Macaca mulatta: one gene and its partner. The protein of the gene in region 2 purifies or fractionates together with the protein of the main gene of each other region. This does not show direct contact. Links are inferred from orthologs where the notes say so. Each region holds a gene or a part of one and is shown on either strand. Other genes may lie near its edges.

Region 1 (4,445 bases), on a different chromosome or scaffold from region 2:
GACTCCGTCTCAAAAAAAAAAAAAAAAAAAAAAAAAAAATTGGCCGGGCACGGTGGCTCACACCTAATCCCAGCACTTTGGGAGGCCGAGGTGGGTGGATCACGAGGTCAGGAGTTCAAGACCAGCCTGGCCAAGATGTTGAAACCCCATCTCTACTAGAAATACAAAATTTGGGCCGGGCGCGGTGGCTCAAGCCTGTAATCCCAGCACTTTGGGAGGCCGAGGCGGGTGGATCACGAGGTCAGGAGATCGAGACTATCCTGGCTAACATGGTGAAACCCCGTCTCTACTAAAAATACAAAAAACTAGCCGGGCGTGGTGGCGGGCGCCTGTAGTCTCAGCTACTTGGGAGGCTGAGGCGGGAGAATAGCGTGAACCCAGGAGGCAGAGCTTGCAGTGAGCCGAGATCACGCCACTGCACTCCAGCCTGGGAGACACAGCGAGACTCTGTCTCAAAAAAAAAAAAAAAAAAAAAAAAAAGAAATACAAAATTTGGCCGGGTGCAGTGGCTCAAGCCTGTAATCTCAGCACTTTGGGAGGCTGAGACAGGCAGATCACAAGGTCAGGAGATCAAGACCATCCTGGCTAACACGGTGAAACCCTGTCTCTACTAAAAAAATACAAAAAACTAGCCAGGTGTGGTGGCGGGCACCTGTAGTCCCAGCTACTCGGGAGGCTGAGGCAGGAGAATGGCATAAACCCAGGAGGCGAAGTTTGCAGTGAGCTGAGATCCGGCCACTGCACTCCAGCCTGGGCGACACAGCGAGACTCCATCTCAAAAAAAAAAAAAGAAAAAAGAAATACAAAATTTAGCCAGGCATTCTGGTGGAAGCCTATAATCCCAGCTACTCGGGAGGCTGAGACAGAGAATGGCTTGAACCCGGGAAGCGGAGGTTGCAGTGAGCCAAGATCACATCACAGCACTCCAGCCTGGGCAACAGAGCAAGACTCCGTCTCAAAAAAAAAAAAAAATTAGCCGGGCATGGTGGCATGTGCCTGTATTTCAGCTACTCAGGAAGCTGAGGCTGGAGAATCACTTGATCCCAGGAGGCGGAGGTTGCAGTGAGTCAAGATCGCGCCACTGCACTCCAGCCTGGCAACAGAGCGAGACTGCATCTCAGGAAAAAAAAAAAAAAAAAAAAAAAGGAAGCTATGCGCAATGGCTCATGTCTGTAATCCCAGCACTTTGGGAGGCTGAGGCGGGCAGATCACTTGATGTGAAATGTGAGGAGTTCGAGACCAGGCTGTCCAGGATGATGAAACCCTACTAAAAATATAAAAATTACCTGGGCATGGTGATGGGCACCTGTAATCCCAGCTACTAGGGAAGCTGAGGCAGGAGAATCGCTTGAACCCAGGAGGCGGAGCTTGCAGTGAGCTGAGATCGAGCCACTACACTCCAGCCTGGGCAACAGAGCAAGACTCCATCTCAAAAAAAAAAAGAGTAAAAGGCAGGCATGCGTCCTGGAAACAGCTACAAACAGGACAAATGGCATGGAAGCAGAAAGCAGATAGGTACACAGGCCCCCAGCCGTCCCCTGCAACAGGAAACCAGTATAGACCCAGAGGAGACAGTAGAGAGGAACCCATGGACATATACACACAGAGAAGTTCAGGTGCACACACCGAGAAAGTGCAGGCAGGTAGACAGCAAGAAGACAACTACACACAGAGAGGACGGGCACTGTCGCAAAAGGGACAGGCGAACACATGCAGAGGGATCTGGCTTGCACTCAAAGGCGTGGTCACCCCCAGGCGCTCAGGTGGACCGAGTGGGTTAGGAAGGCTTACCTCTCTGTTATTCCTCTCCAAAAATGCTACGGCTGTTGGGCTGACCATATGGTCCTTCATTTCCTGGAAGTGAGGACAGCATTAGGGAGGAAAGACACTCAGGCCCGGCGCGGTGGCTCACGCCTGTAATCCCAGCACTTTGAGAGGCCGAGTCGGGTGGATCACCTGAGGTCGGGAGTTCGAGACCAGCCTGCCCAACATGGTGAAACCTCGTCTCTACTAAAAACACAAAAATTAGCCGGGTATGGTGGCAGGCACCTGTGAAGTCCCAACTACTCAGGAGACTGAGACACGAGAATCGCTTGAGACCGGGAGGCGTATGTTGCAGTAAGCCAAGATGGCAACACTGTACTCCAGCCTGAGCGACAGAGACTCTGTTAAAAAAAAGAAAACAAAACAAAACAAAACAAAAAAGACACTCAAACCGTCCCCCACTCCCCGCCTGCAGGACCTTTCCTGACCTGGACTGCCTCTCGCATCCGCTCCACGAACACCTTTCTCTCCTGCAGGTCCCCGGCCGGGAGCTTGAACTTGCCTGGGTTGGCTTCCACTATACGTGGGCTGAGAGTCAAGGGTCAAGGCCAGAGCCAGATAGCATCATCATCCCCCTCCCTAGGGGTCTAGCCCTCCCCGAGGGCGGGCTCCCAGGCCCCCTGCTACCCCAGTGAGCTCTCCCATGCCACCCCCCGCCACAAAGCCCCAGGATATCGATGGTCTCTTCCAGGTCCTCGAGGTCCCACTCGATGCTGCGCAGGCCATTCCGTAGCTCATTGGTCGTCCAGTCCAGCTCCTCGCGTCCGACCGCCGCGCTTTCCTGCAGAAGCTCGCACCAGCGCTGGTATAGCCCGCGGGCCGTGTTCACCGCCTTCTGCACCTCGCTGCGGGCAGGGGCACGGCGGGCGCAGCTGGGGGCAGGCGGTCCTTCCGCCTGCCTCTGCCCCCGATTGCAAACCCAAACGCATGGGGGACTCCGGAGACCCCCACATACCCCTGCGTGCGCCTCCCACTTTGCACCCCGACGGCCTTGCCTAGCCCGCCGGGCACGCTGGAGCCGGCACCCGGGCACTAGCTGGATTGGGGACGGAGCACCCTCCGCCCTCCCCCGTCGTGGTCACTCACCCTCGGACTACAAAAAAGGGGTCTTCGAGAGACATGTCAATCCCCTTCCCCCCAGGCCGAAACCCCCTCCCGGCCTGGGTTCGCGGGCTGGTTCTCTCCCAACCCAGGAGAACGCGCCACCACCCCCGCCCCCCGTCACGCCACCATCGAGAGCGGGACCGCCAGGGCAGAAAGAGAGGCCTCGGAGGCCGGACGTGCGGACACTTCCGCCCTCTCTGCAGCCATCTTGGTTGTGGGCAGAGGCAGCTTCCGGTACGCATGCCCCGCCCCTTCGCCCTCTTGTGCCGCACCGTAGGGAGCGGTGTCGGAGTTCTGGCTGGGCCTGTTCGGGTCCGAGTTCGGAATCTCGGTTCAAGGCTCAGTTCCTCGGATTGTTCCTGCTCAACCTCAGTTTCCCTTCCAGGCACGGGCAATGTAAATAATGGTAGCCTCCCTTATCTCTGGCGGCTGGGGACTATGGCTGGGGAAGGGGCTCATTCGATTGGTTGAACGTTTTCATGGACTCCCTGAGCTGGCACCTGGGAGATCGTCCCAGTCCAGGGTCCCGAGTGTCAGGTTTGGGCAAGGTTTGGGGGAGAGGTGGTCCTTCCTTCTCCCTGCCGGGGCGGGGCGAGGAGCGGGCCTGCTCCTGCGGGGAGTTCTGCCGCATTCTCCAAATCTCTCTTTCCTGAGAAGTGGGCAAGCTGGGGGCACCTCGAGGTCGCCTTGGGGCGAGGTGGCCGTGAGTGGGGGTCCCAGATATTCCAGGGGCGGGGGGAGGTCACCTTCGAGAGCGTGCGTGGAGGTGGGTGTCTTCAGAAGCGCGGATTCTTTCTGGGTGAGAGCCTGGGGGTCGCGGGAGGTATGGTGGCTTTGAGGATGGTCTCCAGGGGGGCCCTCTGTGTGGGGTCTCCGTCTGGGTACGGGCCAGGAATATCAGCGAAGGGACTCAGGGTCGTCCCTATGTGTGACAGTGGCGCTCTGTGTGTTGAGGGGTGAGGGAAGCTTCGGGAAAGCACTTTTTTGAGTGGTAGGGGGCCTGGTCTCCCCTGGAGGGTGGGCGGGTTATCCGAGGGAGTCCTCAGAGGGTCGCCCCCTTGCGCGTCAGAGTTGCTGCGTGGGGTCTCAGAGATAGCGCCTGGGCCGGGTAAGTCATTGTGGGGTCTCCGTGGTAAGGTTAGTGGGGCGGGGACGGGGGCGTCTTCGGCAGGTCGTCGCAGTGTGGCACCATCGTTGAATGGGGACGAGTTTGGGAATGGTCTTTTAAGGGGGAATAATTTTTGAGTTCCCACCGTGCGGGGGGAGGGCGGGACGGGAGGGTGCCCCAAGGCCTGAGAAGATCAGTGTGGGGCAGGGGTCAGGGATAACCTGGGAGGGGGCCTTGTATGGGGGAAATAATTGGGAAGGGGAGAGATGGGATGAACGGGGTCTCAGCGGGTCGTCTCTTGTGTATGTAGGGTCGTTCTGTAGCGTCTCTGGGAGATGGCCTTCGTGGGAGCCCTCCGGTCGCCCCTACCCGCTGCGGGGTGCTTTCCTGGCGTCACGCCTTCCTGGCC
Region 2 (4,481 bases):
GTTCAGGACCAGCCTGGACAACATGGTGAAACTCCATCTCTACAAAAAATATAAAAATTAGCCAGGCATGGGCCAGGCGCAGTGGCTCATGCCTGTATTCCCAGCACTTTGGGAGGCCAAGGCAGGCGAATCACGAGGTCAGGAGATCGAGACCATCCTGGCTAATACGGTGAAACCCCGTCTCCACTAAAACTACAAAAAATTGGCCGGGCGCGGTGGCTCAAGCCTGTAATCCCAGCACTTTGGGAGGCTGAGACGGGCGGATCGCGAGGTCAGGAGATCGAGACCATCTTGGCTAACACGGTGAAACCCCGTCTCCCAGCTACTTGGGAGGCTGAGGCAGGAGAATGGCATAAACCCGGGAGGCGGAGCGTGCAGTGAGCTGAGAACCGGCCACTGCACTCCAGCCTGGGCGACAGAGCGAGACTCCGTCTCAAAAAAAAAAAAAAAAAAAAAAAAAAAAAAATTAGCCGGGCGTGGTGGTGGGCGCCTGTAGTCCCAGCTACTCAGGAGGCTGAGGCAGGAGAATGGTGTGAACCCAGGAGGCGGGGCTTGCAGTGAGCGGAGATTGTGCCACTGCACTCCAGCCTGGGCGACACAGCAAGACTCCATCTCAAAAGAAAAAAAAAAAAATTAGCCGGGCATGGTGGTGCACACCTGTAGTCCCAGCTACTTGTAGGGCTGAGGCAGGAGGACTGCTTGAGCCAGGGAAGCTGAGGCTGCAGTGAGCTGAGATCATGCCACTGCACTCCAGCCTGGGTGACAGAGTGAGACCCTGTCTCAAAACAAAAATTTAAATGTAAATTTTAAAATGTATGTTGGATCTACCTTTGGGAGTATTCTGGTTTTATATATATATATATATATATCAGCATGTATATAATATTCATTCAACATGTATCCATCTATCCATCTTCATGTTTATATTATATATTAAATATAATATTATATATGATATATATAATATTGAATACAAGTTGAATGAATATTTTGCAAATAGATATTAAAATCAGATTTAGCTTCAACAAGAAAATTTCAGCCTTGAACTAGAATTTTCTGATCTAACCTGTATTACAGCTCCTTCACAAAAGGAAACTGGAACAAAAAGTACTACACTTTCTAACCAGTGGTCATATTATTTTTTTTTAGTTCTGGATTTTAAGAGGTCACATACCCTTCCTTTCACTTCCAGAGTCTCAACTGCTTTTGATCAGAAACTTCTCAAATTCTACAATATACATTTAGATTTAAAAGCAAAGTGAGCCTGGGCAACATAGTGAGACCCCATCCCTACAAAAAATTTAAAAATTAGCCTGGCATGGTAGATGCATCCTTGTAGTCCTCGCGACTCAGCAAGCTGATCAGGAATTCAAGGTTATAGCCAGCTAGGATCGCTCTACTTCACTCAGATCACTGCACTCTGCCTGGGTGACAGAGCTAGACTCCATCTCTTAAAAACAAATTTAAAATATTTAATTTTTTTAAATTAAAAAAATTAGGCTGGGCACAGTGGCTCACGCCTGTAATCCCAGCACTTTGGGAGGCTGAGGTGGGAGAAGTGCTTGTGCCCAGGGGTTTGAGACCAGCCTGGCCAACACAGCAAGACTTCATCTCTACAAAAAAGAAAAATTTTTTAAAGTTTAAAAACTAAAGCAAAGTGATATTATTTAAAATACAGAATTGTAATTCAGGACTAACTAGTTCTACCTATTAACAGAGTACACCAAGCTCACAAAACACAATAATAAACAATAAGGATGATGACCACCATTCTTTCCAAGTAAAGCTGTTGCTGATCTCCTGTTTATAAGGCTCCAAGATGATTTTCAAGCCCAAGAAACACCCTGTATTTGACTCATTCAGCTACAGTTTCACTCAGACCCTAATGGGGAGGAGGGAGTTTTAAGACAAGCAATACCATTCTGAATTCCACCAACAACTCTACCATGCATTACTTGCTCTGTGGTTGTGGCTAAGTCTCTTAGCTTCCCTGTGTACCAGATTTGTTCAAGAGCAGCTAAGTAGGGAAGGAAAACAAAAGCCTCATCTGCCTGAAATCCAAAAATACACCCCAATGCTTTGTTACAAAAGACAAAATAATGTAAGTTGAAATGTTGCTGGTGAATTATCTTTATTAAAACAGAAGTCATCCCACCTCTCAAATACCAGTCATTGTGTCTGATTTCCGAATTCATTACAGGAAGAACTGTGTATGAAGTCATCCAAACACATGCACTCTCCACTTCCCTTAATTGAAAGTTGCTGATTTCCGAGGAGCCAGGGGCTGAGCAGAATGTAAACCTAAAGCCTAAATCAGTAAACAACCCCATCCAAACTGGCCTAAGAGGAAAGCGAGGTGGGTGGGGAGGAAGGTGGATGACAGGAGAAACTCGGCTGACCACTGCGCCAAGTCAACGCACTCACAGCTCTCGAGATGACACACACTCCCCTTCCCACCCTCGGGCTGTTTTGGTCCCAGAACCGTGGGGGCAGAACTCCAGAGAAGCAGCTCAAGCTTCAGCTGGGGCCGGGGACCCTCGGGCAGCCCGGGCCTGACAGACTGGGGGAGGCAAGCCCACCGCCCCCAGGGTGGACAGCCCGAGACAGCCCCAGGTGTGGCCTCGGCCGTAGTCCCAGCCGGGCTCCGCGACCCGACAGTCTCACCCAGGCCTGTCCCGGGGACAGCTCCCGCCCCCCAGCTCGGTACCCCGGCTCACTGGCTTGGCTGATCCGCTGGATGTTGCCGCTGCACGTCTGGATGATGCTGCTGAAGTCCCGGAGCTGGGGCCCTGAGGGCCCCAGGTTCCGGTACATATCTAAGGGACCGTATGACATGATGAGGAGCTGAGACCTGCTCGCCCTACACCACTCTCCTACCGGAAGCAGCCGCCAGCCGGGACCCGCAGGCTGACGGAGAAACTGGGAAGAGCAAGGGCGGGGAAGAAGCTAAGGCTGCGTGCGCACTAGTCCCGCCCCCACGCAGCGCGCACGCGTCCTCCCCGCCCCTGTTCAAAGTGCGCAGGCGCCGCTGGGACTGGGGCTGGGACTGTATCTTAGAGACAGGACTGCCTGGGGCTTGGGGGTTGCGGGGCGGAGAGATGACGTCACCTAGTTGGGGCTGAGATTGGATGAGCTTGGGTGGAGGTGTTGTTTCTCGCCAGGGCACATTGACAAGAGGCAAGAATTTTCGATTTGCATAAAACTGTACCAGATGATCTCAGCCCTTACATCCTATTCTGTTTTGAGAATTCAGGCCCAAATATGGGAGTATTCAACGTTGAAACTCAGACCAGGAACCAAATCGTAACCCGAAATTCCTCTCTACTTCCGTCCCCAGGGTTTTGGTAGTATTTGGGGTTTCCAAACCGCTTTCATTTCTCCCTCCACCCCTCTTCTAATCTAAACAATAAAATAATAATGTTTATTAAGCACATACTATGTGTGAATCCTCACCGCAATTCACTTGTTCATAAGATTTTTCACAGCAAGGGACGATGCTCTGTCTACATTTTTATCATTAGAATAGATAGCGGAGAGTCGGTTTTTTAAATATTGAAGTAAAGTAACTCATCAATGTTAGCATTATTATTTTCCCTATTACCGATGAGAAAATTAAGACCAGCGAGGTTACTTCGCCTTGCTGAAGTTTGACTGCAAAAGCCAAACGCTAAGCTGACTCTCTCCTCACCTTGCTACTTCTCTAAAATTCATTCTCATCGAAATCTCTCCCAAATAGCTCGTTCATCTATATCCCAAACCGGGATTTCTTGGAGAACTAGATTCCTAAAATTTAAAAATCATACCCTTAAATACTTTGGAATGCATGACCTCAATTTTCCTACAGAAGACTGCATTTCTGTAAGCGTATGTTAAAAGGAAAGACATAGGATTTTGGTTTGGGAGGAGATCAAGATGGTGAGAAGTGAAGGGGAACTGGCTGTTTCCTGTGTTCTCCACCCCACCCCAGCCTGCTTTGCAGTCTTTGGAAAATGCAAAGACGGAAAGCTGCTTGCCTGGGTGAAAGGAGACCCCAAGTGAATGAGCCTGTATATGGCCTTAGGGTTTTTTCTTTATTTTATTTTATTTTTTTTGAGACAGGGTTTCGCTCTGTCACACAGGTTGGAGTGCAGTGGCATGATCTCCGCTCACTGCAACCTCCTTCTCCTGGGCTCAAGAGATCCTCCTACCTCAGCCTCCAAGTAGTTGGGACTACAGGCGTGCGCCACCACGCCCAGCTAATTTTTCTATTTTTTGTAGTGATGGGGTTTGGCCATGTTGTCCAGGCTGGTCTCGAACTCCTGGGCTCAAGTGATCACCACCAGCCTTAGGATTTTTTAAGGGTGGCTATCTCTATTTTTCGTTGGAGAATTTGAGAGCATTTTTTTCCCTCTCTCTAGAAAGAGATGGATGACATCCGGGGGCTCTTGTTTTGGTTATTTTATTTTATTTTTGAAATGGAGTCTTGCTGTGTTGCCCAGGCT

The links. Proteins that work in one complex are often made in the same cells at the same time.
Region 1: the proteins of STX12 (region 2) and STX10 purify together in Homo sapiens (affinity purification with mass spectrometry; 3 studies listed by BioGRID and IntAct, counting the BioPlex papers as one, with this or other methods). This does not show direct contact. The link is inferred for Macaca mulatta from reciprocal best matches to the Homo sapiens genes STX12 and STX10.

The regions. Positions count from the first base shown.
Region 1 is NC_133424.1:13,721,110-13,725,554, forward strand, and holds the start of STX10 (syntaxin-10), read right to left. Parts: upstream 2,952-4,445; 5' UTR 2,946-2,951; coding exon 2,911-2,945; intron 2,670-2,910; coding exon 2,500-2,669; coding exon of another isoform or gene 2,490-2,499; intron 2,348-2,489; coding exon 2,253-2,347; intron 1,855-2,252; coding exon 1,792-1,854; intron 1-1,791. UniProt on the Homo sapiens protein: SNARE involved in vesicular transport from the late endosomes to the trans-Golgi network.
Region 2 is NC_133406.1:213,166,935-213,171,415, forward strand, and holds the start of STX12 (syntaxin-12), read right to left. Parts: upstream 2,850-4,481; 5' UTR 2,836-2,849; coding exon 2,718-2,835; intron 1-2,717. UniProt on the Homo sapiens protein: SNARE promoting fusion of transport vesicles with target membranes. Together with SNARE STX6, promotes movement of vesicles from endosomes to the cell membrane, and may therefore function in the endocytic recycling pathway.